Oreochromis niloticus: one gene and its partner. The protein of the gene in region 2 interacts with the protein of the main gene of each other region in a pairwise test. Links are inferred from orthologs where the notes say so. Each region holds a gene or a part of one and is shown on either strand. Other genes may lie near its edges. The genes, in order: ift27 and hspb11.

Evidence for each region.
Region 1: the proteins of hspb11 (region 2) and ift27 interact in binary tests that used the Homo sapiens proteins (3 or more experiments, as listed by UniProt). The two-hybrid records come from large-scale screens. The link is inferred for Oreochromis niloticus from reciprocal best matches to the Homo sapiens genes IFT25 and IFT27.

Annotation. Positions count from the first base shown.
Region 1 is NC_031971.2:8,796,940-8,812,267, reverse strand, and holds the start of ift27 (intraflagellar transport protein 27 homolog), read left to right. Parts: upstream 1-7,942; 5' UTR 7,943-8,088; coding exon 8,089-8,122; intron 8,123-8,575; coding exon 8,576-8,655; intron 8,656-15,328. Other genes in the region: syngr1b (synaptogyrin-1), read right to left, coding at 6,828-6,929. UniProt on the Homo sapiens protein: Small GTPase-like component of the intraflagellar transport (IFT) complex B that promotes the exit of the BBSome complex from cilia via its interaction with ARL6. Not involved in entry of the BBSome complex into cilium. Prevents aggregation of GTP-free ARL6.
Region 2 is NC_031977.2:14,348,794-14,364,658, forward strand, and holds hspb11 (intraflagellar transport protein 25 homolog), read right to left. Parts: upstream 6,289-15,865; 5' UTR 6,165-6,288; coding exon 6,073-6,164; intron 3,987-6,072; coding exon 3,880-3,986; intron 2,315-3,879; coding exon 2,246-2,314; intron 2,163-2,245; coding exon 2,119-2,162; intron 2,026-2,118; coding exon 1,933-2,025; 3' UTR 1,190-1,932; downstream 1-1,189. Other genes in the region: smn1 (survival motor neuron protein 1), read left to right, coding at 6,396-6,443, 7,166-7,237, 7,318-7,437, 9,109-9,300, 9,853-10,029, 11,675-11,749, 11,919-12,026, 12,264-12,320. UniProt on the Homo sapiens protein: Component of the IFT complex B required for sonic hedgehog/SHH signaling.

The DNA of each region.
Region 1 (15,328 bases), on a different chromosome or scaffold from region 2:
ACAGAGGAAAACCTTCCTGAAAGACGGGATAATGCTGGATCCAGGGTGTTCCTGTTGTCACTACTCAGTTGCTGACTGAAACGAAGAAATTACGCTCCAAAGAGTGGATATCGTTGATGTTTTGAAAGTCTCAGTAACTGAATAAATCAGAGCAATCCCTTTCATGAAACAATAGATCTGTGTCTTTGTTTTTCCCCTCGCCAAAATAAACCAGAAGACTAAGAAGACTTTTCATTAGGACAAATGTTTCGTCACTCATCCAAGTGACTTCTTAAGTCTCAGCTGAATGCAGGTTACCCCAACGGCATAAATGGTACATTTGCATAATGACCTCCTTACCTGGATGAATTAGTACATTGGAGCCTAGCTAACACCACCAAGTCAGTGGTTCAGGTATGTAGATGACACCTGGGTAAAAATGTCAGGATGTACCACAATTGACTGATCACAGTAACTCAGTGGACATCAAGTTCGCCTGGAAGGATATGACAGGCTAGACTTGTTAGACTGTGAGATTTCCATCAGTAATGGGGGATATTTAAAAGTTAATGTGTACCATAAACAAATGTTCACAGATCAGTATTTAAGGTTTGACTCTTATCATCCACTGAAGCACAAACTAGGTGTCATCAGGACGCTACAACACAGAGCGAACAGCATCCGCACAGATAGAGCGGCCAGGGAAGCAGAAGAACATCATATCAAGAAGGCCCTGAGTAAATGTGGTTATCCCAGCTGGGAAGGCACCTAAAGAAAGCTCTGGGTGATCCAGACGAGAAAAAGGACAACGGTTAAAAACCCTTAGTGATGATACCTTATATGTCAGGAGTATCAGAAGAACTGACACACATTTTTTCTAAACAATTGGCCTGTGTGGCTTTCAAACACCAAAACACACTGCGCCAAAAACTGGTCCACCCCACTGATCGGGTCGCCTGACACAGACAGAGTAATATAGTGTACGCTGTTAATCTCCAGGACGATTGCCATGATTTACACATCAGGGAAACAAACAACCTCTGGCGAAGCGGATGGCACATACATAAGAGCTAACTTGTCAGACCAGGACCCCATGGTCTATTTACACCTACAGTCCAGTAGCCAATCAAGACCATCTCTGAATCCAGGACTAAGGGTACATCTTTCACCAACTTACAATGCTGTGTTTGCAGCCATTCCCCAACTCTCTGTGAATGGTACTCATGACCATTGATCAGTGGTAGTTGATCAATGGTCATGATAATTTGCATATTAACGATCATGAAACTGACCTCACAGCTCATTGTTCGTTAGCGGTGCTAGTTTCAGTTATTATGCAAATGTACCGTTTATAAGGTTGGAGAAACCTGTGACTGAAGAATTCTCTTGGATGAGTGGCAAAACCTTTCTCCCACTGAAAACAGTATGTCCAGATAAACAGAATCAACTTTCTGGCATTATCATTTTACCTGGTTTGCTCTTACCTCTACATTACAAACAGACATTAAATTTTACAGAATGGGATCTTAAATACTGTTCATCACTATAATGGACTTGCAGGAAAGTGCTAAGAAGTGCTTGACCTTTAAGCGATGTTCACATTGGAAGGGACAAAGTTTCATTATTGCTGAGCATGGACTGCTACACTCTCATTGAATTGCTAACAAAATATTGTTTAACCCTCTGAGGTTGAAGATGTTAATTTCTATCTTTCGGATGCAAGCAAAAAGCACTTTTCTGGAAGAAAAAGTTTTGACACATCCATTAAATTGATTGATGTTCTTTGTCTCATGATTGCCAGAACTTAGGAGAACAAGTTTAACAAGAACATGACATGTTTCGATAGCACAAGGATAGGGTCAGAGGTGACAAAACCACAAACATTCTTTATTTAAGTAGAAGTATAGATACTAGTATCAAAAAATACTCTGGTAGAAGATGAAGTACCAATTCAACTTATTTACTCAAGTAAAATAAAAAAAGTACAGTTCTGAAATGTACTCAAAGCAAGAAAGTAAAAAGTAGCTCTTTGAAGGACATTACTACCAGCTATTTTTTTGTGAAGGACCTGGCACTTTGGGGTTATTGGAATGTGTTGTTACACAATGACAACATTTGCATTGTTAGACATAAGATGCATAAATTATATATTTTTGGTTCTTTAATATCTTTCTATGTAATAATCCACAGTAATGGATATACTAACATGATTGTCACATCGCTGGATGTTTGGCATGCAGTGATGTGAAACAATATCTTCTCTTAAATGAGTCAAACCTAAAGTAACGAGACTGTTTTGACAATGTCAGGAGTAGAAAGTAGATATTTGTGAAAAAAATGCACGTTTGTTACATGTTTGTTACTTCCCACCTTTGGTTAGGGTTATCACCGATAATGCTTACGTGCTTTATATTATCAATCGGTTTGTGTGTGTTTTACAAATATGGAAGCGTATGACCCACTGAAGTCTTGGAAAAAGCTGAACTTTTGTTTGCATGTGTCAGTTTTTAACTTCCATTGAAAGTGTGACTTGAAGCCAGCTGCCTTTTCACCATAAGAGCCACAACAGCTACACTACTGGGAAAGGCGTCTAGTATATGAACTAAGGAAGTCTCCTTTATAGTGCTGAATGTTATAGTCTCCTCCCCCACAGACTGCTGCAGGCTCAATATGAAAGTCGTCACACGATACATCACAAGCTAGGCTATGCCTGTTACTATGGCGACATGCTGCTGCTCTGATGACACCTCTGGACAGGGGATGTGGTGAGGAGTCATAAAGACACTCCATACCTGTAGAGTGTTGTCTTAAAGTGTCAAATCAATAGAAAATTATAAACGTGGAAGAAAATCACTGCTGAAGCAATCTGTCACCTAAAATGTAGCTTAAAAACATTTTTGAGGACCATAAAACTCTTTAAGACATTTAAACATGTGCTGTTTTGGTTTCTATTTTTAAGATTTTGAGTACTGAATGCTTAAAGAAACAACTTCAACCATTCAACCTCAACTATGCAACTTGAACATTAATAAATAGTCACATAACAGTAAAATGTATTGTTTAAATATACGATTTAACCCCCTTTGTAGCGCAGTAATCTAGTTAATTCAAACAGAAATAATAATATAAAGATTAAGAAATGAAGATAGAAAAGAAAAAAGAAAAAAACTGCAACCCTAGATAATAAATAGAGATTTTATAACTACAAATATCTACTGAGTTGTGCCATATACTTTCAACATAAAACCCTAAAACTCTAAAAAAAGGTGAAATAGCAGTGATCAAATTGTGCCATATTAAAATATGCTTTCCCTACGTGACTGAAAAATATTCCTGCATACAGACAAATTTACAGCACAACATGTGTCATATGTTCAGAAAACTGCCAGGTTTACTAATATAAATAATATACATCATATTAGTATACCTCGTATACAGCCAAAGATATGAGCTCACAACTAAGCATTACAACGATTAAATCCATGATTTACTGACACATCACATCACTTGCCATTGGCTTTGTTATTTAAGGCTAACAGATTAATAAACTCTTATTTATTTTTACCACAAACCATGCATTTTCTTTGTATTTCTAATTATAATTTTAAGTATAACTTTTTAAGTTTATGGCACTTTCAGGCCACAGAAGCTTTTTAAAGCATTTATAATTTTTAAAAGAAGAACACCTCAGCTCCCACTTTAGTGTCAGGACTAGGGCTGTTCGATATAACGATATATATCGGATGACGATAGAAAAACGTCTATCGTTTCATTTTACGCTATCGTTTGTTTCGTGGTGTCGCAAAATAAACTGTTTACGGCAATATTTTTTCATCATTTTGATGGTCACTGTAGTGGCTATATTAATTTCCTAAAGTTCTCTCTTTCTCTTATATTTAATATAACCACACTATGGAAGGACAAGCGCTTGTTTTTTATGCGTTTTCGTTAGCAACAACGACGGTAAAACCACGGCGTGTCCGCTTGTTTATTTTCCACATAAACCTTTCACAATAAAGCTCAAGATCCTGTTGAGGCTTTTCAAAATAAAACGAGTCACGTGAAAGATGCAGAGTATTAACGGATGAGAAGCAAAAAAGAGCCGCCAGGTGCTAAAAAATAAACCTTAGACTCAAACGTTAGAACAGGCTTTTCCCCGCAGCACGCCGTGTAATAAATACTCACAAAGAAAACGGCGGCCGTTACAACTTACTTCTAAAAATATATCGTTTCATGCATCAGTTAAAACACTCGACTCCAGGTACGCGACGCCCAGCTGGAAACACTTCACGCAAGTCGAGATGCCCGACATTCACAGAATTTACAGGAACTGTTACATTTTTGTAATTTATATCGTTATATCGACGATAGATGTTTTAATATCGGGATATGAGATTTTGGTCATATCGCACAGCCCTAGTCAGGACTGTACAGTACAATACAAACCTTACCTTATATAGGTTTATATAGTTATAAGCATTATGTACTGATGCAACGCTGGTAACTGACATTATGTGACTGCTTACATTTTAGTTCTGCAAACAACCAGTGGCTCTTAAGATGAAACTAAACTTTGAGAACCTGAAAGATGCTAAAGTTCGGACTTTATGCTACAAAGGAAACACAATGAAATTTTAACTTTTGAACACTATAAAATCTTTGCAAGTGTTTCCTCTTAACCAACTGGTGCCTCAACACAGAGAAAATCAGTACAGTGAAAGTATAGAGATGAAGACACTGAAAAAGAGTTAGAAGAAAGTAAAAGATCAGATCAGGCTTTTACCGCCTGGGCTTATTGGCTACCAGAACACATTTAGAGAAAATAGTCCCTTGTAACATTGGGTAACATTGCTGTACAAAAGTTTTGAGGCACCTCTCATTTCTTCTTATTTTGTTTCCAAGCAGCTACACTTTCTTGTGATATTTTAAAGCGCTCTTGAACAATGGTGCTCCAGACTTTCTGAGTCTTCACAGTTTTTCATTGCACATTGGCTGCTTTTTCACTTATTTTCAGAGGAATGTTTCTTGTGTTTGTTAAGCCAATTATCACTGACCTGTGAATCAGCACAGTGTCTACACATAACAGACAACTGAGGGAAAAAAACATTTTAAATTGTATTTTTTGGCAAAACACAAAATATGTTCCCATTTCTTTAGTTGAGTCTACAAAAGAATGATGCCAAGGATAACACAGCTTAACAGACATAAACTACTATTTTAGCAACACCACCACCAATTCAGCTACTTACATACACGGACAAAATCCCAAAACTCCAATCATGTCTTCCTACAACCTTTTGTTGTGGCTGTAGCCAACTTGTTGCCAGCACACAACTTCTAGCCGGCTAATACATCACATAAGCATTCTTACTGATGTAAATATAAAAGAAATAATAACTAAAGGTAAGATGTTCTCCCAGTAGGTTGTTACCTTCAGGTAATCCCAACAACTGTGGTCAGGAAGTGCCTTTAGTCACACGTAAGATAATCTGAATGAACACCAGATACAAAAACTACAAGTCATTTTTCTTATTAAAAGATGTTCAAGTACACATTTCCACATCTTTTCCTGTTTTTCCATAAAACAAGGTGAAATAAAAGAATTATTATTAAAACAAATAATAATATGCTCTTTGTAACAGACTGCACTGTAGTCAAAAATCAGTTGTATAGTTCAAAATCTAAAACAACACTGTCTATGTGTTAACTTATTGTCCAAATATGTTAAAAATAATGATAATAAGGGCAATTCCTAATTGCTGCACATTACCAAATGTTCATTTAAAAAAATGAACTGTAACAATGTAATGTATAAATCTCCGTCAGATATTCATCACCTGACGCAGTCTATGAATGGACGCAGTATATTTACTTCCTGTCTTTCTTAAAGTACAACAATTTAAGAGAACTTCCTTGATGCGTTCTAATGAAAACACCACATAGTGCATGCATTTTCCTCCTCTTAAAACACTACAAGACACAAAAGATACAGCTGCGGGTTAAACACTAGACACCCAAAACAAAAATCTTATAAAATACCACCTGGTAGTGCGCTAAAAAGAAGAAAATCTGCCCAAAATCCTGACTTTAACTCATTTAAATACATGTAAATTTTCCATGTAATTTTCTTACATAAGTACAATGTAAAACAATGGTCTGGTCAAATGAAATGAACTTGATTGTTATACATTCAGTTTATACCGAGCACATTTTCCTTAATGATTAATTATATTAATAAATAAACCTCTGGTTTCATACATTTCAGCTGTTATTTCCTTAAAACTCAGCGTGGAGCCAACACTTTGGGGAGCACTTCTGTTGCCATCTGTTTACTATGCTTGTCAAAAGTGTTCTCCTACTGTTGCTACTCCTTTTTCATTAGTGCTCCTCCTCCTCCTCAGAGCACGGAGGGTGGTCAGTTATTATGAAATTATTTGCTATGAAATTCAACAAATGTGTGACTGCGTGTTCTCACTGTGCTCATGAGAAAACATCATCTGGTCACTGTATCTGTAGAAGGTGGATTTTGTACACAGCGATCGGGACTCTGTTCAATCAACCCATCAACCCACTGCGTGAGGAGAATATTATTAGTGAGATCAGGTAATAGCACCAAACACACAAGTGAAAACAAAAGTTAAAAGAACAAAACACCACAAAGCATGTTACAGCTGCCTTCAGTATCTATAGGAGCTCCTCTCTGAAACGAAGCCTGTGTGGGCCCTCGGTTGGCTAATTCAAACCAATATTTGACAACATATATGAATGATTTAAAAAAGTGGTGGCCTCTGTAGCTAACTGTGTATCCAAGAACAAAGTTATTTTTCGTTTTTATATCTCCAACTCACCCAAGACACTATGCGGAGAATGGTCTGAGGCTGCTGGAGGAAGGTGACGGGGTCGAAGGCTCCTCCGGCTTTCCCGGCTCCGTATGCCTGCATCCCCTCCATGGTCCTCCTCCTCCTCTCTCTCCCTCCCCGCTGCTGGCTCAAAGGCACAGGGTGTGTGGAGCACCGGGTAACCGAAACGGAAAATCCCCGAAACTGCTCCCTATCACCACTACTGTACTACCGCTGAATCTGCACGGCTGGGATGCGCGTCTCCCCCCACCCCCGGTCTCCTTTGGCGCCCTGTTCTCTCGTGCTGTTGGTTTTAAATGTAACCTCTAATTTGTCTCCGTTGAGTGTTTGGGTAAAGAAAGCTTTGTGATGGTGCTAGATAGTGATGCTTTCTCCCTTTAGTTCAGCGCAGAAGCCGGTGGCGACCCCGTGAACGCGCCTCCGTTGTCACGCCTCGGACGGAGCGCTCCTCGTCAAAACACCCCGAGTAAAAAAAACAGAAAGAAAGAAAAACAGCGACGTACTCAGGACCACTACAGAGAGTCACGCGCTCTTCGTTTACCGATGGTGGGCGGAAAAACAGTGATTAAACCATTAAACCAGAACATGATATTAACTTAATCATATATATCATATCATATATGATAAAGTATGTGAGCTGAAAATAAATATTGGTAAAGGGTTATTTTGTGTGAAGGCACTTATTAAAACACTAGAATGCTTCTACATGAATAAACGACAGTATAACAGTACCACCACCCAACAACGTTGAACTCCCTGATTGATGGTGCCGTGGGTAGGTGCAATAAATTCCGCCCTCTAGCGGTCTTACCGTATATTGCCTGAATATGCAAGGACCTCATGGTTGTTTTCTCCTTCAGGCTTTATACGTGATATTGCTCTGTTCTTAAACAAGCCCCATTAATATTTAGTCAAGTCGGCTTATTGGTGTTATAAATGGTTGTGCACACTGATATTTACGTTTGTACACTGTTTCAGTAAGTTCTGTCTAACAGACTCTGCAAAAGTAGCCTTTTGCTTCCTTTACGTCCTCACAGAAAACCAATGAAAACACGACTACGCGATTACGTCCTCGACGGCTGGACCAATGAAACAGCCCCGTGGCTGGTTGCTAAGAGACGCTTTGTGTCCATGTTCCCGAGGCTGCAAGAAGGATAGTCCATCGCATATGGACCGATAAACAGCGAAACATAGCTCGATTAGCTTCAAGAGAGTTTTACCTGACAGAGACCGGAAGTCATCCCATGTAATGGTCAAGTTAAGGGCGAGATGTCTGCTGGTCGGTAAGGTTTTCAAAGCGGCCCACTTGATAAATAAGGAACGGGGGCTAAAGCTAGCCTTTTACTACAGAAACATCCCCAGCCACAGGCCGTGTCCTTCTTATGTTTCAGATTCAACCTACTTGTTATAGGACTGACGACAAATACAAGCCTGATACTATTTCATATATAAAAGATTATGTTTGTTGGGTCTCTTTTATCATGTAGCTACAGTCATTTAGCTTACACAAACCAATCACTGCCGAGTGATGATGTTTCAACTCACAGAATTGATGGTGAACCAGACACTAAACTCTAAAACTCCCTGATAATGAGGGGGGTTAATTATGAATTCTGTCGAGAACGAACTCCTTAAACACAAATTAAACTATTAATTATTAATTCACAAAAACTACATCGTAAACACAACCACAGGCTGTCATATTTGTATTCTTCCCTGTGTCTGTGTGTCTGTAGGAGATGCTGCAGTGGGCAAAAGTGCTCTTTCTCATATGTTCTACAGCGATGGCACTCTCTTCCAGAAGAATTACAGCATGGTGAGAGCATTAACACAGTCACTAAAAGGCTCATGGTTTGATTCCATGAGTGAAGTGAGTCTTCCTACTTTAGATCCGATGTGTCCAAAATAAGGCCCTCCTTTCATAAGTTTTACAGCTTTTCCTATTAATGCAAAACAAAAGGAATTAACTAGAAGATAAACAACTGAATGATAGAAAAGTGCCTGTTTTTTCCACCATCTATAGAAATATGTAACAAAATCAACATTTACTGTGAATAAAAAAAATGTGTTTTGTAAATACAGGACAGTTTGTTGAGCTAACACAGATCTCTATGTGATCATTTGTAGTTAAACATCTTTACAATGACAGAAAGTTTCGCTTGTTAGGCCCACGTGAGATCAACGTGTGGTGTGTGTGGTCAGCGGTATAAAATGAGTTTGACATCATTGCTTTAGACTAATCTGTAGGGTTAGGACAGTCTTTTGTTCTGCTCATTGGTCATTTCATTCAGTTTATAAAGTTTCTCCTGAACGATAGATGTTGCCACTCAGACAAAATTTCCATATTGTCACTGGTACAGAAGTCAAAACCAGAAGCATAGAAGTTATAAAAGCATATTCCTCTTTTTCCTTGTTTTTTTTTTCTTTTTCTTTTTTTTGCAATATTTCCCTCTGTATAATCTGTGGATCTCCGAGCTCATGTACTGATATATCATTAAAATGGCAGAAAAAAAAACGGCACTCATATCATCAACCTGCATTGGTTGGATTGCCTGCAATGCCCCAGGTTCCAAAATCAAAAGGTACTTGGCCGGCCGGAGCGACACTCAAGTGGTATCGTGGCCAAGTAGATGTGACGTCAGTTTGACATCATTTTTGTCACCTGGCAAAAGCTTTATTGATGTTACCATGGTAGCAATCAGTGACACCAGTCTGTACCAGTGGGAATCAACACTTGGTGCTATACACGTGTACAGACACGTGTATATGAAGGTTGGTTTATCTTTAGATAGTTTAAATTAGGGGTGTCAACATAAGACTCCAGGGGCCAAAATCAGCCTGGAAAAGATTCTAAACTGGCCCACTAGATGGCTTTGAAAAATTTGAAATAAGGCATAAATTTAATAGGTTTTAAGCTTTCCCTGCTGATAAAGACTTCCCCTGTGGCCATTCATACTACACCTATACCATTTACTTACTTACTTAATTAGTATAAGTAAATAAGTAACAGATAAACAGTTAAATTACAGAAAAGTTTCAGTTTTTCACTATTGACTGTTGACTTTTTTTGGTCTTTATCACATAGAAAAACTGAGACATAATGTTGAAATTGCTCTTCTTTTTTATATTAAGATTTCTTGGGGCTTAAATGTGTAGTTATAATTCTTTACACAGACAGAAAGGATTTTTTTTTCTGGTTTGGCTCACTGAAGATCAGAATTAGTTGAATGTGGCAATGTAAAATGGGTTTGGCCTTCCTGGTTCATATAGAGGAGCTGCTATACTTTGTGTGTTTAAGTATACACTTGGTCCGATTGACTAATTTTGTTGTGAAAGGGTGAATGTGAGGCTCAGAGCAGATGTCAGCATGCCTTTCAGTTTTTGCACCAATGTACCAGCTATGGATATGTCCTTCACGTGGACTTCAAGCAGGCTCGAACAAAGTATAATAGAATGACTACTTGTCTGTGACATCTGCAGCCGTCCACATCTGAGAAACTGCCCCCTGGTGTAGCACTGTCACATAACACAGAGAAAGCGAGCTCACTGCCAGACATACTGCAGTGTATGTGGGGTAGGCAGCATAACATGTCTTATAACAGTAAGTAGGGATGTGTTGTACTCCATTCACACAATCAGCAGAGGAATGGAGCTGTAAAACAAGTTGTTCAGGGATTTACAGATCGGGGTGTACTCCGTGACTAGCCACAGGCTTATGTTTTTGTATTCAGGCTGGGTAAGTGAGGTGAATTGGGTTTGAAGGAGCAGCTCATGAAGTGCAATGCTGGCTCACTGCCAGCACAGAATAGATAGTAGTTTGTAGGGAATAGCCTTATCTGTGTGCTGTGAAGCGCTCAGAAATCCAGGCGTTCAGTCCTGCCTGACACTGCAGCAGCTAATCAGCATGTAATTGGCAAAATGTGCTTTTTTAGTAGGCACACTTGTTCTGATAGCTAGTATTAACCTTCCTGAGACCTATTAAGGTCTTAGAAGGCTCTAGATGTATTTATAGATATAGGCATAGCAGTTAAGCAGTGAGTAACCGTGCACAGTTAATCACATGTAGCCGTTTACTCCAGATTTGCTCAATCAGTCAAGAACTGTAGAATTTTCAAATTAATGAAACAGTAAGATGTAATTATACATCAATAGCAAATCAACATGTCTAATATTAGTCAAAGAGGACTATGTTTATATTGCATGTAGTTTCTTTAGTGGAACTTCTTGCAGGCTTTTCAAGGACCTGCAGAGGTCTTTACTACAGGAATCACTGAAGTGCACAACAGCATAATGTAGCAATTAATGCTGACGCAGAGAAGGATTTATCTGCATTATTTATGCTAATCTACACGACAAAAGGAACCATGTCATTAACCTGACTCTGTGATGTATGGCGGCATGGCTGTTCAGCGATTCCCTCAGTTTTCTAAAGGGCTAGTGCACTGCAAAAGTAAGAAAGTGTAGGTGCGGTACATGCATTAACTCGTGAGTATGGATACATATTCATGCAGTTTTCTCTCAACACACAACCACTCACATTTAGTGACTTTACCATAAAGCCGTGCAGTGGTTATGGTACAGAACAGGTTGGTGTATGAATGACTGGACAAAGGCCAAGTGTGCGTGTGCGAGTGTGTGTGCATGCATGTGCCTGTGTGGTTGCTCAGATCTTGCTATGTCAGCAGTTAGGGGGCTTCTGAGGTGACAGGAACGTCGATAATTAATACAGCAGGATTCTGGAAAGCCACCAGAACAGGTACTTAACTAGCAAACACACACACCAGCATACACACAAAAAAACAACAGGGATGAGTTTCTTCATACTGCATAGGCTTGATACAGTAGGCACTTGTTTGTGATGCTGTGTGTGTCTCTTCACGGTGAACTAGCGGGTCATTGACGAAGTAGAAAGAGGCTGCAATTGGGCGGCCTTTTCAATTTGTAATGGCCTAGCATGCACCATCGCTGAATGCCAGGTCAAACTATTAGACATCTTTTTAACTAATGCAGCTAATATGAGTAGATCTAAAGAAATGATACAGGTGGAGTTGTGTGAAAATCTTCAAATACACAACAAACAGGAAAATAAGAAGAGAAGAAGCAATGCCGCTTTGAAAGTAGGTGGAGAGAAATACAGGTCTGCATTTGTGCCAGTAAATCAAGGCTCTGTGTCCAGTTGACACCACTTTATTAGCTGAATACTCTGAAAGAAATGCTCATGGGGAATTGCTGGTCACAGTCTTTGCTGTTGCTATGCAACTGTTAAAACACCTATTTGTAGCCAACCGCTTGCCTGATATTAGTTGAAATATTTTTAACTTCTTAACTCACTTGGTGTAAAGTGCTTCATGTAAAAGGAACTTGACTTTGGAAAAAAAAAAAAATGAAGCTCTTAAACCATGAATTTTTCATCCAGAAGTTACTTTGTGTTTTCTAGAGAGTAGTAATAGTGAAATGTACAGATTTGCCTTCAATTCCAGCATTTGAACAAGATGTATGAATATTTACATCTACCGAGCTTTGCCCAAGAGAAAGAACCCTTACTCAGGACTGTTGAACACGTTAATGTTCCCTCTCGTTCTGACTCCATAGACCTTTCTTTGCTTCTTGTTACTTTGAACAGTGTTTTGAGTTGGGTTGTTTAACAGGACTCTTTGCACTCCTGTAAAAAACTAAGTACGCCCATTGATTCAGTAGCTTGTTGAACCACTTCTAGCAGCACTAACTTGAAGTAATCATTCTCTGTATGACTTTATCAGTTTTCTGCATCATTGTAGTTCAGTAAGGAGAGATCATTAGAAGGAATTGAACATGATTTGTCGATGTAAAGAATTAAATTTGAGGCATTTGGCGGCTAGACTCCGATGATCCATCACAGCAGAACAACATCCCAGCAGTGATAGGGATTAGGACAAGATCCCCTGGAGTGTAGACTCTGGTGGTGGAGATGAAGATGGAGGCTTGAATAGGTCCTGAGTGACTAAGGAGAGGCGGTGATGCGGAGGAGGTGGAGTAGACGAAGGCGTCTGCAAAGGAGAATGACAGATATGCAGTGAGATTTAAAGTATGTGGAGTGAAGGCTGATTGGTCTAAAGAAGGCCGGCAGAAAGATGATTGGACTAGACCAGTGATGTCACAATCAGCTTGACAGTGTGGGAAAGTGGAAGTGATGTAAAGCTTAGATTAGCCGCCAATACCTGGCAAGTAGACAGATGTGTGACTACAGATCTCCCTTACTGAACTTACGAATAAGCTTCAAAAGAATTTTTCCTGTACGAGTTTGCTTTAGTTTATTGAGATTTGTGAGCACTTTTTTTCTTACTTTGGCCACAGTATTTCAATTGGGTTGAGATCTGGGCTTGGACTGGGCCATTGCAACCCCTTGATTCTTTATTTTTTCAGTCATTCTGCTCTAGATTTGCTCCACTTTGGTCTCTACTGTCCAAAGGATATTGTTCCAGACATCTTGTGGTTCGTGTAGATGTAACTTTGCAAACCTAAGCTGTACTGCCATGTTGTTTTTAGAGAAAAGAGGGTTTCTCCTGGCAGTCCTTGCAAACAAGCCGTACTTGTTCAGTTTTTTTTCTGTCATGAACTTTAGCCTTTAGCATGCTAGCTGAGGCTGGTATAATCTGAGATAATGATAATGATAATGGATTGCATTTATATAGCGCTTTTCGTGAACCTCAAAGCACTTTACAGTTCCACTATTCATTCACTCTCACATTCACACACACTGGTGGAGGCAAGCTACAGTTGTAGCCACAGCTGCCCTGGGGCAGGCTGACAGAAGCGAGGCTGCCATATCGTGCCATCGGACCCTCTGGCCAACAACAGTAGGTGAAGTGTCTTGCCCAAGGACACAACGACCGAGACAGACAGAGCAGGCGATCGAACCAGCAACCTTCCGGTTACAAGTTCAGCTTCTCAACCCCCTGAACCACGTTCACCCACAGAGATGTAACTCTTGGGTTTTTTCGTGGTTTCTTTGAGGTCTGCACGATCTGACCTTTGGATGAATGGAGTGAATTTGCTGGGGTGCACATTCCTGGAGCTGATTAGCGTGTTTTTACAGGGATAGGGATAGGATATTTAAAAAACTATAAATGGACGACAAAGTATTTACAAGGTCTTTTACTTCTACTTATTTTATTCCAGATTCTTCCAATAGCTAGGTTTGCTGCAAAAAACTTTTTCCCTTACAGCAATATAAATTAGTGTCATTTTTAAAAATATTAACTGATATCATGATTGTAAATCACCAATCCCTGGGGTACTCCACAGGTGACCTTTCTACTCTAATACCAGTAACTCTGTCCCACAGCTTTCAGTTTAAGATTTAAATGCTGATGGAAACAGGACACAATATGTGTTTCTTTCATGGGGCTTAACCGGTGCTGTGAAGGGTTAATCCTTCTGCAGACGCCCAAGTCATCCCTCATGTTCTTCAACTTTTGATTTTGAAGGGTAGCCGAGGCTGTCAGCCATTCCGCTCACGTCCTCCTTTGAAAATGTCAGACAGCCTGTTAGCAATATTCCAAGTTTATTTGCTACTAATAGGCTCTCATTGACATTCCAGCAAGAAGCTTCCTATGCATCACACCAGCTCATTAGACCGCTCTGAAGTGGGACTGCAGCTTGGTCCGTGTGTGTACTGCTGGATGCTTGTTATGAACTCTGCGTGTGTATGAATTGGGTAAATGTTGGTCGGAGGTGTGTGTGTGTGTATTTCACAGAGGCAGTGAGTGTCCACGGTGCGTTTGTGTGTGCGTGTGTGTTTGCAGGATTTTAGACTCTTGCATTTGACATGCTTCGTTAAGTGTGAGCTCAGGAGATCAGATCAATTTAGAGTTAGATGCTGATGTGAAGAAACCTCGACTCACTTCTTCAAGGTCATCACTGATCTCATACCAGTGAATAGTTGGAGGGGGAAAGGCAGCCTGCAACTATCTGGTCCATTTAGGATTTCTTTAGATCTCGTAGCCTGTAAAGAAGGTGAATTTGTGATATCGTCCTGCCTCTCTACTGCCTGCACTTTATCTCCTTTAACAGCTACCTCTATTTGCTCTGTACTAAAAGATCCCAACTACCTTCAGCAGTTTGTTTAACATTAAGACAGTTTGACCAAAGTTCAAATAGCTGATGTTTCCTGAACTGTAGTTCGGGGCAGATTCAAAAAACAGCTGCCTCCACCTTGCAAAGGAGGAGGAAGGTTTACAGCCACTACAGCTCTTTCTGTGTCATTCTTATATTTTTGCAACTGCTTTTGTGTGATGAACAGTCAACATTCATTTTAGTAAACAGCTATACCAGCTATTTGTTTTGACAAAAGAGAAAAACTCACACTGACTGTTTCTGTGTTTCTTTCACATAGAAACAGTCAGCTTTTTTTCTCTTTCACAGTAGATATAACTCTAAAAAAGAAAAATTTACAGTTATACCTACTCTTTTTTTAAATGGCCTCTGTTGACTCCTGTCTTGAGTTAATG
Region 2 (15,865 bases):
ACAGAGAGAGAAACTTCCTTTGTAAGTAATTCTACCATTCATCACCATCCGGCTCTTTTATTCTAAGGCTTTGCCAATTATCAGCTTGTGAAATAGGCAGGAACAGTCGAATGTAGGATTTAAAATAAGGCCCATTAGTGAATCCATAACATTAAATAAGCAAAAACTGTGAAAATGGATTGACACAAATGTCCTAATCATAAGGCAGGCTTAAAAATACATTCAAATGTTTTCTCTATAGAACATATCCCAAGAAGATTCATAGTTCCCCAGCTATGTCAAATAATGCTTGTGTGTGTGGGTTTTTTATTATTGTTTAATTAAAAATGAAATACCACAAAGTCATGCAGTTAGGTCCATATATATTTGGACACCGACACAAGCGTTGTTTTTTTACCCGTTTACAGAAACATATTCTAGTTATAGTTCTGTAATGGACACGGACATAATGTGGAGACTCTCCACCTTCATTTGAGGGTATCCACATGATCCACATGGAGATGTGGATAATGGCCCACAAACAAACAGCAACTGAAAGCTGCTGCAGTAAAGGACTGGCACAGTATTAAAAAGGAGGAAACCTTTATCTTTTATTTTCAGTTATTTAATTTGACCAACTACTTGGAACAAAGAGATTGAGTTTTTAAAAAACACTTTAGTTTCTCACATTTTTAAGCAATGAATTAAAGCTGAAAGTCTGCACTTCAACTGCATCAGAGTATTTTCATTTAAAATTCATTGTGGTAATATACAGAACCAAAATCAGAAAAAATGTTGTTTCTGTCCAAATATTTATGGACCTGACTGTATATGTTTATGAAAAAAAAGAAATGGTCATATTATTTTTATACATGTGATGAGCTCACAACGTTGCACAACTTCCATGAAAATAAAAAGTATGCCTGATTTCACTTCAAATTTCAGTATCCATGACTGAAGGTCATCTTTTTGTGCACTTCTGGATCTGAGCCAGCACTCAAGCAGTCAGTGTGGAGCTCTATAACCAGAGGCATCTCAGGGCCTCTTTACACCTGCCTTGCACTGTCTGAACGCAAGCATACGACAATTTTTATAACCTGGCGCGTTGAGGGAACCAATTTGTAGGTTTTTAACACCATTTTAATGATCTATCAGAAGCTCAGAAATTCACAGATCATATAGAGAGAGATCTTGCAGCAGTTTGAAAAGATGGTTTTGTTGAAAAAAAACTTTATTTGTTTCTGGTTTTGACTCCTTTTCCTCCTATTTCATGTGGAGGTACTGTCTGAGTGGTGACTAGTTGAGAAGTGGGCTAGAATAGGTTGGAGTTCAACAGGAACAGGAGAAACCATGAAATAAACTTTAAGGATCAAAAACTACAGACAATCGGTGCAGCGGACACTTTTCACTGTTTTTACAACTTTGCTATTTTTCGCAGCTGGCTGACTGACCAACAACAACACAAGCAAGAGGGGCTTACAGACTGTACTACATACTTGACAACAGAGCTCTCTACAGGTAGATGGGCCATCACCAGACTGCAAACGCGCTACATCTGCTGAAAAATAAATTCTGCTTTATACATTCTGTATCCACGAGTCCGCTAGGGTCTGCTTGGGTCTGCTTGGGTCCCAGTGACATAAATTTTGTCATCAGATGGTTAGCACGAGGGTTTGTGTGGATGTTTTAATGTCTGCCATTTTTTTTTATTCTCGTGACCACACAGACTTGTTAAAGAAGTATAACAGGAATAACTACTCAGCTCTTGGGTTTCCAGCTATCCAAGTTCCCAACTGAGTACAATCTAGGCTAAACCAAATGTGTAACCAAAATTAAATTCAAGTCAGGCCAAATTTAAATAAGGTATGGTTTTTGATTTTTATGGGTTTCGCTGCATAAGTTTATGATCACACCTCGTAAATGTTATACACACATTAATTTTAATTATGTGCGTTAATTTTTTACACTGACTCTGTGAACTGAGACAAAGTGATCATATCCTGCGGTGATGATGAAACGAAGGTGGGTGGCACTGCAGCCATTTAGCTGAAAGAGAAAAACAAAGACAAGTCATGGCTTTATTAACTCTTATTAAACTTGTTCATTTTACATTTACTTTACATTTCCATTTGAACCTACTGTTATAGCATTCGACTGAAGATGTCCCTCTGTACTTTCAAACTCTGCAAGGCAAAGAGTTTGTTAATCCCCGTTAAAAACACTGTGAACGGTGCAAACTAATACTTTGACTGGATGTCCTCATTACCTTTCTCTGCAACAGGCTCAAATTGAGAAGCATTTTGTGAGGTGTTTTTTTCTATTTTCAGGTGCTTCACTGTAAAACAATTAAAAAGAAATCAGCAGGAGATATTAAAAATTGGAAAGAAACCATGAAATAACACGAGATATAGATACAAACTTTAAAGAAAATAAATATGTCTAGAAAACAATATTTATCAATAAGAATTTTAAATATGGAACAATGTTACACCACATCCTTGAGACGTTTCTCTTCCTTTAAATGACCACCCAGTCATTTATTGTCCAGTGTTTGACAGATTAATCAGCTTTCCTTTTTCTGAGCTACTTAATTACAGTTTTATTGACATATTATGACAGGAACTTAAGGGGGGCTGTTGAGGCCATGTAAAGCTCAGGAAGTCCAAGAAATTTTTCAAATAAACTGCAGAAACATCATGACTGCAAATGAGCTGCTGGAAGGTTTCATGAAGGGGTGATTATGTCTGCATGGAAGAGCCATCAGAAAGAACCCTAACCCCCAACCAATACCGCTGCTTGGTATTGAATATTAGCAGTGGAGAGATAAAACACATCACCTGAGTGTGCAGTACTGATTAAAACTTTGGGGGCTCCGAAGGAGCGGAAACAATAATGACAAAAATGGATTCATGCGTATATCAGCAAATTATAAATGCAAATATCCTGTAGTTGGCTGAAAAGAAAAGGTCAATTTCTACATTAACACCACGAAGAATTTGTTATCCCACATATTACTTTAAAAAGCATGACATAAACCTTTGAGAAAGGCGCTCATAATTCCCTTGAAGAGCAGCTAATCTGCAATACTACGTGGGTACAAAAAGTGTTTTTTCAAGCTGTTCTATATGAAATCATTTTAATGCCTGTTTACTTCAGCGGGGTGCATACAATCCACACAAAATACAATCCCAATTTTAAACAAAGCTGGGATTGTGGAATGCTGTGTAAAATGTAAATAAAAGATGAATACATTGATTTGCAAATCTCATAAACCCTCATTTTTTCACAAAAGAACACAGAAAACACATCAGATATTTAAACTGAGAAAAAAACACAAGGTCATTTTGAATTTGATGGCAGAAATACATCTCAAAAAAAGTTGGGACGGAGCCAACAAAAGCTTGGAACAGCAAGTGATACTAAAAAGAGACAGAGGAACATTTTGTAGCCAGTCAGGTTAACGGGCAACAGGTCAATAACATGACTGGGTATAAAAAGAATATCTCTGTTTAAAAAGATTCAGGACATCTGAAGAAATCTCTGTGCGCAAGGGACAAATAAATACAGGCTGAAAACAGATGGATACCCTTGATCTTTAGGCCCTCAGGCAGCACTGAAAAACAGGCATGATTATGTCATAGAAATCACTGCATGATTTTAGGAACACTTCCGGTCTGTTACTACAATTCAATCTACCATCCATTCAACTCAGGTTAAAGCTCCATCACGCAAAGTAAAGGCCATACATGAACACGATCCAGAAATGTTGGCTCATTTAAAATTGACTGAGGTAAGGTGGAAAAGTATTTGGAAATTCAGTTCATCAAATTTTACAGATGGACCCAACGTTTATAGAACTGGACATGCATGTTTGCCCTAAGGTGCACACAGCCTCCATACCATTGTAGCTGTCCACTGTCACAGTGCCAATGTTTGTAGGTTCAGGGAAGTGAATGATGAACTCTTGAGGAAACATCCCAGTGGACATCCAAAACGTTTTAGTGTTTCTGAGTGATAAGAAAGACAGAAAATCATGACATTTTACCATTGATGAGATCTGTTTAAATCACATTTTGATATCAACTTTTGTTGTGCAGATATACAATATTGCGCAAAAAATCTTCTTCCTATTTTGCTGCCATGTAGCCAGACTTTCCGGAAATATCAAAAATGTTAGCTAAAGCAATAGTCCTACTGCTTTTCCAGTCATTTGCACAATCATGTGACTCATTCAAGCAAAAAATACAGCACGTAATTCAAGACACCTAAATCTCTCTCGCGCCATCCGACAAGCAAAGCGTGCACATGCACAAAAGATCCAGAGCCACTTCCACAACGTGGAACGCGTGCTGAGATACTCCGCTGATCAGCTGGCCGATGACTACAGAGACATCTTCAACTCATCACTGAGCCTGATGATCATCCCAGCGTGCTTCAAGTCCACCATCATCATCCCGGTAGAGCAACCTCCCCTGCTCACTGGACCCGCCACAGTTTGCATACTGGCCAAACAGGTCGACCAAGGATGCTATTTCCACTGCACTTCACCTCTCCCTCTCCCACCTGGGCAAGAAAGACAACTATGTCAGAATGCTGTTCATGCTGCTGAGCACCTCTCTCTGCAACTGGATACTAGATTTCCTGTCAGAGAGGCCTCAGTCCGTCTGAATCGGCGACAACATCTCCAGCACCATCAGGCTGAGCACAGGAGCTCCTCAGGGCTGTGTTCTCAGCCCTCTGTTGTTCACCCTCCTGACACACGACTGGACTGCCCTACACAGCTCTAACCACATCATCAAGTTCACCGACTACACACCCGTGGTTGGACTCATCAGCAGCAACGACGAGTCAGTGCACAAAGATGAGGTTCAGCAGCTGGCGTTCTGGTGCAGTGAAAACAACCTGTCACTGAATGTGGACAAAACCAAGGAGATGATCATCGACTTCAGGAAGACTCGCTCCACTCACACACCACTCAGCATCAACGGTTCCACAGTAGAGACTGTTAACAGCACCAGGTTCCTGGGAGTTCACATCTCAGACAACCTCACCTGGACCACCAACACCACCTCCATCACCAAAAAGGCCCAGCAGCGCCTCCAATTCCTGAGACGCCTGAAGCGGGCTAACCTCCCTGGTCCCACCCTCACCATGTTCTACAGGGGCGCCATAGAGAGTGTTCTGAACACCTGCATCCCCGTGTGGTTTGGAAACTGCAAAGTCGGTGACCTCAGCCAGCTACATCTGATCGTCAAAGCAGCTGCAAAGATCATTGGAACATCTCTCCCTCTGCTACAGGACATCTTTCACAAACGCTGCATCAGTAAGGCCTCCTGCATCGTGCGTGACCCCTCACACCCCTCACACGGACTCTTTTCCCTCCTCTCATCCGGCAGACGCTATCGCAGCATCCTCCAGACTGCGAGACAGCTTTTTCCCACAAACCATCAAACTCCTGAACTCACTACCAGCTCCCCCACTCCACCCCATCACACACACCCACACAAACCACTAACTGACTCTACCGGACTCCACATACCACTGCCTTTGTAAATACAGATGCTGCTCTATGGACAGTCCTACTCTCAGGAATCCTCCTCATGTTAGTCCCTTTATTTCACAGTGTAAACTGTAAAGCTGCTACGTTGGTCATTTTAAACCACTTAAATATCAATTGTAAAATGTAAATTTTAGACTGTTATTAACCCTTTTACCTCAAAGTGTATATTTACTCCCCTTACCTCAGTCTCAAAGTGTATATATATTTATTCTTTCTATTCTTACTCTTCCTACATTTCTTGTTGTTCTTTTGCACTTTATGGAACTGGAGCCTCGTCGTCTCGTCTCTCTATGTACTGAACTGTATTTAGCAGAGATGACAATAAAGTTTTGACTTTAAAGGGACGAACCAGTGTTATGTCAACACAACAGACAGCTTAGCAAAGAAGCAATTTTAAGTTGCATCTTCAGGCACCTTTTAGTAGCAACTTGTAGCAAAATCACATAATTTGTTTCGTTTTGTTTAAATGAATATATGAAAATTGACAAAGATAAAACTGCTGAGATAACCACGGCTTAAGAACCAGCACTCACCCGTCGATAATGCTTTCTGGTGGGTGATTTTCATCGCTGGATGCAGCGAGGACAACTTTCGCACCTAAAGAAGTTAAAGAGGACTCAATCATCGCACAGAAAAGGTTATAGTCTCCGAGGCTTTCTGGTTTTTCTATAACAGGACACAACAAATGCTTGTTTACAGATTCTTAAGGGGGGAAAGTCGTCAATTGCCGTTGCCAAGCCAACCACTGCGTCGCAAGATATAGACGTCGCAATGTTGTACGTCACAATTTCCGACGCACGCTGCTAGTTAGATGTTTAGGAGTTAGCGGCTAGCACTGGATATAGCAATTGTTCACATGGCGAACGGATGCGAAGAAGTGCTTTTTACGCGCGGAACTGGACAGGCGAGTTATAATGCACTATTAAGCGGAGGAACATGACTTATATGACGCTTCTATGCTGTCTGTGCAGTTGTTTGAGGCGGTGAGCTATATAGCTAAAAGCTACAAACCAACGTTGAGTTAGGCTAACTTAAGATATGAGAAAAGGAATAAAAGAAGTCAAGCCGGAAATAAACAATATACCAGATGTTCTTCAATAAACAAAACGTGGCTTTATTGGAATATACCGTTGTGGATAAACGTTACAAAAAATGCTTTACAAAGTAGTTTTAGGTTGAGTTGCAACAGTTTACAGGAGACAAAGGTGTACTGTACAATAACCCTAAGATCCTTTGCATCCTGACTCTGTTTTTGCATGCACTGCTTGTAAGATGCTTCATTATAATTGTGGATTTAAGACTGATTTAAAAATAATAATAATAATTCAGCAACATTTAATGTGCTCGTCTTTTTGTGTGTTGTTTATCCTTTTTCCACGAAAGAAATTGATTAATTATTCATCATAAATTAAGTGTTTTAATGTCTTTCTGCTCTTCAGCACACCATCTTTTACTATTTAGTGAATTATTTTGACACAACAAATAAATATTGGCTGCAAATGTCATCTGGTTTGCAGGTATTATTTATTATTTTTAAATCACTTAATGTTTAGCCATTATTTATGTATACCCATCAAAAATACATGTTCGTTTTGTAAAGACTCCAAATTTGTTGTTCTCTTCCAGAGTGATGATTCAGACATCTGGGATGACACCGCACTGATAAAGGCTTATGACAAGGCAGTTGCATCTTTCAAGGTAACTTGGGATTATTGCAGTATGTGTGAATGTGAAATGTTGTTTGTGACTTTAAAGTCTCTTCCTGATTTGCGTATTAGACTGCCCTTAAGGGTGAAGATGAGCCACAAGTCTCAAAGAAAAACCAACCAGGAAAGAAACGCAAGAACAACAAGAAGAACCAGAGTAGGAAAAGAAACAATGCACCACCAGAAAAAGAGGTGAGGAACTGGAACTAAAGCTACAGATACATTTGAAGGGGAAAAGGTGTTAAATATTTACACATGATGTTTACAAAGTTGTCAGAGGTATCAAACTGGAGAGTACATTTTAACATAAGTCAGTTTAGATTCTGTGTTTCAAATCAGTGGTCGAAATGTGTCTTTCATTTACAGTTTCTACAGTTATGGTCAGAAGTTTAACTACACTTATCACAGGCATGAATGTCATCATAATTTGAGGATTTTAATAATTTCTTTTAACTGTTCTTTTTACTTTGTGGAGTGATTGCACAGCATACATCCTAAATGGGTTTTAAAATCAAGAATTTGGTGGACAACAAATTTTTGGGAGGTGGATTTTCTCTAATCCACACAGGGTGAAAAGTATAAATACGGGCTCAAATATATACATACATTCACTTAAATATTTTAGTAAGTGGTGCTGAAGGTTCAACAATGACTTAGAACTTGGCAAGGCCTGTTAACTTGTCATTAGTGATCATGATTGACTAAATCTAATAGTTTCTCTGCCATCATAAATAGGATTTGCATGGCAGCAGTTATTGGATTGACCAGTGCTTGTTACAATAGGAAACGCCAGGCTATTCTATGAAGGTCTAAGAAGGAGAATCGTACATTTATACGGGTTGGGATGGTCTTGGAGCTGTCCCTAAACAACTTCAGATTTTAAGATAATCAGTTTAAACAATTGTAAGCAAGTAACAGTTACTTGCACACGTGACCTCTTATCCAAGGTCTCAAAGAAGACCCAATCTGTTACATCCTCAGATTAAAGGAAATTGGTTAGGATGTTCAGGAACAACCCAGGAACCGCTGAGGCTCAAGTCTGCCATGAACTGGAAACTGCTGCAGCATCAGTGTCACTGTACACAGTGAAGCCAGTTTTGCATCACTGTGAAGTGGAAGGGTGCCAACCAAGAAAGAAGCACCTGCACCAAAAGATTTTCAAGCCTGCCTGAAATTTGCAGCAGCCCACATGGACAAGCCAAATGTCTTCTGTAGAAAAGTTTTACGATCAGACAAGACAAAGGTGTAGCTATTTGTCCACAATGACAAGAAGTATGTTTGGAGCAGTAAATATTAGGCTTTGAAACATAATTTCACCTCAAATCAGTCATTGGAAAACTGTTCCAACAGGACATTGTTCCCAAACACACATCAAAACTGGATTTAGAATGGATAAAGCAGGCTAACATTAAGCTTTTGGAATTACCTTCCCAAAGCCCGACCTCACCCCCATTAAAATTTGTGGACTTTGCTTAAAACCTGGGTTTGTGCTGGAAGCCAACAAATTTAAATGAACTCTATTAGTTCTGGCGAGAAGAATGATCAAATATTTAACCAGAAATACACCAGAAGCTTGTTGATGGTTACCAAAAGCCATCTGGTGGAGGCGCGACTTGCTCAGGGACATTTAACGCGTTATTCGGAGTATATGTGTATATGCCTTATGTATACTTTTGATCCCATAGAAATTTAATTTAAACTTGTGCACCTCTTCTGCACCATGTTACCATGACATTCATGCCCATGATGAGTATTTTTTCTGACCACAACTGTACCCTGTTGGTAATTCTGAGACATTCAAAAACAGCGTTGTTTACACATGTTGACGCTTTCACTTTAATTACAGTTTATGTTGTGTCACAGTGGCAGGTTGGGGACTCATGCAGTGCTTACTGGTCCGAGGATGGCCAGCTCTATGCAGCCACGATTGCCTCCATAGACAAGAAGAGAGGCACTTGTATAGTTGTTTATACAGGCTATGGCAACGAGGAGGAGCAGAATCTTGAAGACCTGCTGTCAGAGTTTTCGGAGGGTGATGAGGAATCAAATACCAAGGTAAACTAGTGCAAATAAATGCATTCACATAACAGCAGCACAATACAAATAACAATTCAGTTATTAGAAAATGGTAGTATTGTTCCCTGACACAATTTGCACATAGTTTTTACCTTCATTATTCACATATGCACATCATGAATTTTAAAATAACAAAACTAACATTGTGACCAAATCAGGCTTAAATAATTGGCAAGCAATCCATTGTCATTTGGGTTTTTTAATAGGCCACAACTTAATGAATATAACAGTCGAAATTTCGGCAGTTGGCGTCAAAGACCAAAAAATATGAAATTATTATTAATTACTCCACCCAATATTTATCAAATGGTGAGTCATGGAAATCACTGCCGATTAACAGATTGCTTTCTCAGTCTATTAAAACTTAGGACCAAGTATGGATGGATGGGTTAGCTCTTTCTGCTTTTGTCTGGATCATTTCTTACTGCTTCCCAAACAAATTCAGATAGGTTTATGGATTTCTCTGTATTTGTTCCCAATGATATGAAAATGGGGAGAAAGATCAAAGCAGTATGTCTTTGCTATCCATAGGTGCATGAAGTAGAATCTTCAACAGAGGAGAGTGACAGGTCAGCTACTCCAAACCAGCACAAACAGTCACCTAATAAGGGCCACAAGTCCAAGACCCACAAAGAATCACCTCCTATGTGGGCTCCTGGTTTTCCTGGATTTCCTCCAGTACCACCTCCCATGCGTGCTTTCAGACAGGTAAGAAGAAAGGCTCTTTAGGGAGCTGATTCATTATTAGTCTAACAACAAAATTACTTTCATGCATACTACTCCTCTTATTTTTGTTTTTAAATTGTGATTAAATCAGTTTCAGGTGTTAATTAAATTCCCGATAGGAGGTTGAATGTTTGTTGTAGTCAGAAAGATGAAATGTGAGCAAAGTGTTTGTAATCTGAACAATAAAGATAGAATATGAACATTTATTGCAGGACTGGATTGTAATAGGCCCAACTTCTTTTTGTGGACCCAACTGTAAAGAGCAGAAAAGAAATAATGTGTTTTAAAAAATATTGTACATTATCTTAAGCCTTGTTTGAGCCTCTACGTGCTGACTGTTCAGTTTAAAAGCATACATACACTTATTATGGACATGAACTTGTGCCTTTTAGTGCTTTCCTGGAACTGTGGGGACTAATGCTTGCAATAATGATGGATATTAAAAAGAAAAAAGTTTTAACTAATCTTGGACTTGAAATCAAAAAGCATCAGAGTTATAAATACAGATCATCAACAAATTTGCTTAAATGTTAAACGTTAAAAGTTAAACTCTTGAATTTATGGTCTTCTGGCACAGCTCTTACTAAGCACATTTCACTTTTTTATATGGTTGTTATTTCAATTTTATTTCAAATGCCTTATTTTTACACTGAGCTTTGTGTTTTATCCAACTTTAATGAGTGTTTGATCATCGTCCTGCAAAACGACACAACTGTTTCCAGGTTTCAAACATCTATCTGATGTTTTCAGCTTATGATGAAGAATTCTGGAAAGTCCTTCTCGTTCATTAACTTATATTAACTTAACTGGCAGTAGATCAGCCTCAGAGCATGATGCTGCCACCACCATGCGTAACAATCATGATGAGGTTTAAGTGTCTCAGCTTTTTTTAAAAATGACTGTGTCAAGATTTAGTGCTTTATATTTTCACGTGGGAAGCAACAAACTTTATTTGAGCTCGAAAGTTTTGATGTTGGACACCAGCCACTTGGTCCATAACTCTGTAAAACCTCACTAACTTTGGACTGTGACAATGTTGTTTAAGCAGCTTCTGTTTCATGACAAGCCTGCACTTTGTGATTATCTTTGAATTTGCATTCATTTAGACATGCTTACAGTAAGCATTCCTGTCTTGTCCGATGTTGCGTTGGTATTGATCAATCCAGTTAGTGTTGTCGAACTAACCTTCCTTGGCACAGAAAAGCTACCACCTAGGCAGACACTAACCAAAGCTAAAAGGCCATGCACCTTGCCCTTTCTTTTTTTTCTAGCCCCCTTGCATTAACAGTTGGAGTGGATTTATTAATAATCACCGCTACCACCACCTCACCTCTATCTGGCTAGTCTCAGCTCCCCAGGCTTAACAATGTGCAATCATTTTGCCTCACAAAGCAAAGATCAAAGATATCAATTAAAGCCTAATATTTCCATGATATTTATGTCCATGTTGAAAAAAAAGTTATTTTGAGTAAAAGAATTGAAAGACATCAGATTGCGCTTACTTCAGTTTAGATAAGCTTCCCTAATGAAAATAGTTTCAAGCCTCTCTCGTTATCTTGGGTACTTTATGTGGTAATGATATTACAAGCTGTTGATTTCCACCTTTGTGTCTTTTGTCTTGCATCAGGGGAGCAGCAAGCGATCTGGTAGTCACGGGCCTGTACCTCCTCCATGGCCTCCCATGATGCCTTTTGGTCCACCGGTGAGTTGGGATCAATTTTTACCCTTAGCAAAGCTAAAGGGTATTTAAATGTTTACTATACAGCAGGTTAAATGTAGATACAGTTTAGGATATAACATGTTTAGGGTCTAACAAATGGCAATGTTAAACACCTGCATCCTGAACATTCGCTCTGCTGTTGATGCCTTAGATGGTTCCTCCACCTCCACCGATGAGCCCTGACATGGTGGATGATGAAGCCTTGGGCAGCATGCTCATCTCCTGGTATATGAGTGGATATCACACAGGATACTATCTGGTACGTGCACAGAGCCCTGCTGGCTTTTTGGGAGGTTATAACATGGATTTGGAGCTTGTACATACCTCACCTTTTGTTATGCTGTAAATAGTAGTCACTTGTTTATGGTAATGTTGATGCTTTTCCTTTGCCTTTTTGGTTAAGTTGCTTTATTTTTCCTTTCAGATTTTTAGGTATATGTAAAAGTCATGGATTCATAAAATGAGTAATCTTTTGGGGGTTATTGTGTTTTCATAGGGGCTGAAACAAGGGCGCAAAGAAGCTTCCAACTGGACAAAACAGCATCACAAATGAAGCCCTGCTTGTTATGTCTGTTTGTTCATATGAAGTGATGGAAGAAAGTTTTGTATTCTTTGTAAATAGATGAAATAAAGACTATGAGAACACAGCGGGTACCTGTTTTTGGATATAGTTTAAATTATGCTAGAAAAGACTGTATAAATTACTTTTTTGTACAGTGTAATTGCTTAATAAGAGCCACTTTATCACTTTAAAAAATACATATTTTCTAATTGATTTTACAGAATGGCAAAAAAAAAACAAAGGATTACTGGATATTACGTGTGTGTATGTGATGAACTCAATAGCATATGGCTGTAATGGCAAATATTGTCCAGTAGAAGTCAGACTGGTGTAATGTATTTATAGGAAAATGTGGCATGAATACATAATCGACTGTTTTTTAGTCCTGTACAAAACAATGGCCATACAAAGGAACATTTTATGCAACCATTAGTCTGTATACTGTACACTTGCCATCCTTAGAATTCGATTCCAACCCAGACTTCAGTCTTGTGTTTAGTCCCTCTGGTGATTTCCACACTGTTAATTCAGAGAGTCTTTCCAATATGTTCCTTGGATACGAGCTCCCCATTTTCCCTGAGGTGTTCCCTCGTCCACAGCCCGATATAGAATCACATCCATCATAATCTTTTTCAGCTCGCATCACATAGACGCATATTTCAGGGTGATAGAAGGCACAGTTTCAGCTACAGACAGTATTACAGTGAACTAGTCGTGCAGATAAAGATTGATTAGAGAAAAGTACTGAGACATTAAGACCACTGACAGATACAGACAAATTGAGGCAAAAACCTATGGAGGCGTCACGGTGTGGATCAATATATAGTAACATGCTACAGCCTTAACAATCACCCAATTAACACCTTTGGAATATTTTGGACCTGTGGGCGCTCTCCAACACAATCAACATCAAATGAGGGAATATTTAATAAAAGGCTTATGTTTCGAGGACTGAAGCAGTTCTAATGCAATTTCTTTAGTGTGCCAATTTTTCTTTTTAATGCCTTTTGCACTTGACAAATTCTTCGGGAGATATTTCCAGTAGGAACACCTAGATTTCAAAACTCCATTTTGCCACAAATTAGGCATATTACTTTCTTGGCTCTAATATTTTGCATAATGACAACTCAGGGTCTGCTCGCGACTTTCTTTCCGATGTCCTGAAAACTATGCTGGAATGTTTGAGGTTTAATAGTGTAGGAACAGAGGAGGAAATGGGACGGTGGTTGCAGATACTTTGTTCATTTTTATATTTAGAATATAGAAAACCACATGCAATTACAGTGGCAACAGCCACAATCATGCTGCTGAAGCTGTCCTGCATTCATTTCATGAACATATTTCCTATATTTCCTCTACTTTATGCTCATTCTTTCTGAAGTGGTGAGCGATTTGTGTGTGAGAGAGCGAGAGAGGGTTCAACAGAATATGGTTTTGTGATAGGTTGTAACAGCATGATTGTCTCCTGGCTTTTTTTCATTTTTTTTTATACCATGTGATCTTCCTCCAGCTGCTCCATAGTCATTGCTTGACAGAAGAGCAGTCTCTTTGTTTGTGTACTGGCTGTGGTCGGCATTTTATTGCCCACTGTGACTGCCAGTGTTTACTGCTGTATTTGATTCTCACTGCAGCAGTCTTTTTTTTCTTTTTTCTTTTTTTTTTGCTGTTTTGTGTGCATGTGCGGGGGCAAAAGAGAGAGAACAGGAGAAGAAAGAGGGACGGTAACAGGAGAAAATGTAGTTTGTGGGATTTACAAATAGAATATGCACTATAAATGAGGGGTGATAAACCAGACATATCTTTTCCCCACAGATGGGTCTAAAATCTGCCACGGCGAGGCTTGCACATAAGCCCATTGCTTGCCTGACTCTGCAGCAAACTGAGCTGCCCAAAGGGCTCAGTGGAGCCCAGTGAGGAGTTGAAAGGGGGTCAGACCTTGCTTGGGAAAGCACCGCTCCCCTCTGTGACTGTCTACCTCCTACTGACCAGACTACATGAGGCATGTAAACATAATCTGCATTTCACATAGATCCTTCTAGGAAACAGACAGACATCCAAGTGAGATCGCATTGCTGCATGAGTTACAGTGCCTTTAGCTATTTACCCAAGCTCCCAACATCAACAAACAACCTTCTTTTAGATAAGAGACTTTGGGGGATTTTTAGAGAAACAGGAGCTGTGCTAACCCCTTTCCCTTTTTCCACAAAGATAGAGCACCAAACATTCACTGCAGTCAACATTACATCTTGAAAATAGTGGCACAAACACCATTAACACCAAACGCAACAAAATGTTTGTTGACACAGTTAAATATAAATTTGCACTATTAAGCAGAACTGGTAAGACTCAGCTCTGTGTGCTAAATCACAGATTTAAAGTCTCGGTGAGGGCTGCGTACCAACCTGAGTAAAGTGGCTGTGACGGAGAATCATAAAAGCGGCGCTATTTACATATTTACATACAGTGCCTGCAAACAATCACAAAATTAATATTTAAATATTGGCAGACAGACAGCTGTTTATGATTCAGACAGAAGTCAACAAAACAAATAATTATTTTAAAAAAACAGCAATATATGATACCAAGGTAATTACATATTATATATGAAAGTAGTTATCCTGCAAATAATAAGATCATTACAGCCAGCACTGACTCACACTGATTCCTGACTAAGACTTTATTTTTCTGAACTGATTTCCAGCCAAAGGCTTTTTAACTTTTGAGTATCTTTTTTTGCATAAAGGAGTATTTGAAATATGGGTCTGCAGAAAATGGATAACTGACAAAGCCCAGACTTCTCTTTTGCCTTGAATAGCTGAAATATCACAAGTAAACTGCTCAATTTATCAAAGAAAGCAGAACAAGAAAAGGATTTTTGAATTTGAAGCATTCGGACAAGACGTGCAAAGTATCAGACATTTGTGCTGATGACCTGCAACAAAGGCAACCGGTTCATGCAGTAACCCCAAGGGATGCGTATCTGATTTATTTTCTTATTTTCTTATGCTTTTGAACTGGATGAAGGCCTCTGTCTCTTTTCGTGGACGTGACCTCGGTGTCAGTGAGAAAGATCCTCGATTACCTTCTGACCCAGAAGCTCCAGCAGAGTCACAAATTATGATTCGCGTTCTTGCTGGGTCGTCATGCTCTGTTGCAGATGCTCATAAATAAAACGTCTTATCATGAAAGTAAAGTCCATACCCCTATCTTTACAGCCCCGTAAAGTGGCTGCATTATTGATATTAGGGAAAAGAGAATTCCAGAGGAGCACATAATGACTGTTATAAACATTATGTTTAAAAAGATCCTTATAGCCTCCTTTTATGAGTGGCTACGAAAGCCTTCAGCTGCCAACTAAAGCTGCCGATAAAACCGATTTTCATTGTCATCACAGTGATGTGAACACGAGCAATTAATACATCAGAGAAACTTTAGCTTAGTAAAATATGTATGCAATTGGGATTAAGGATAGCAATGTGCTACACTTTGACAACAATGCCTAGGAAACACTGGAAAAGCAGACAAAGCTCTCAAAA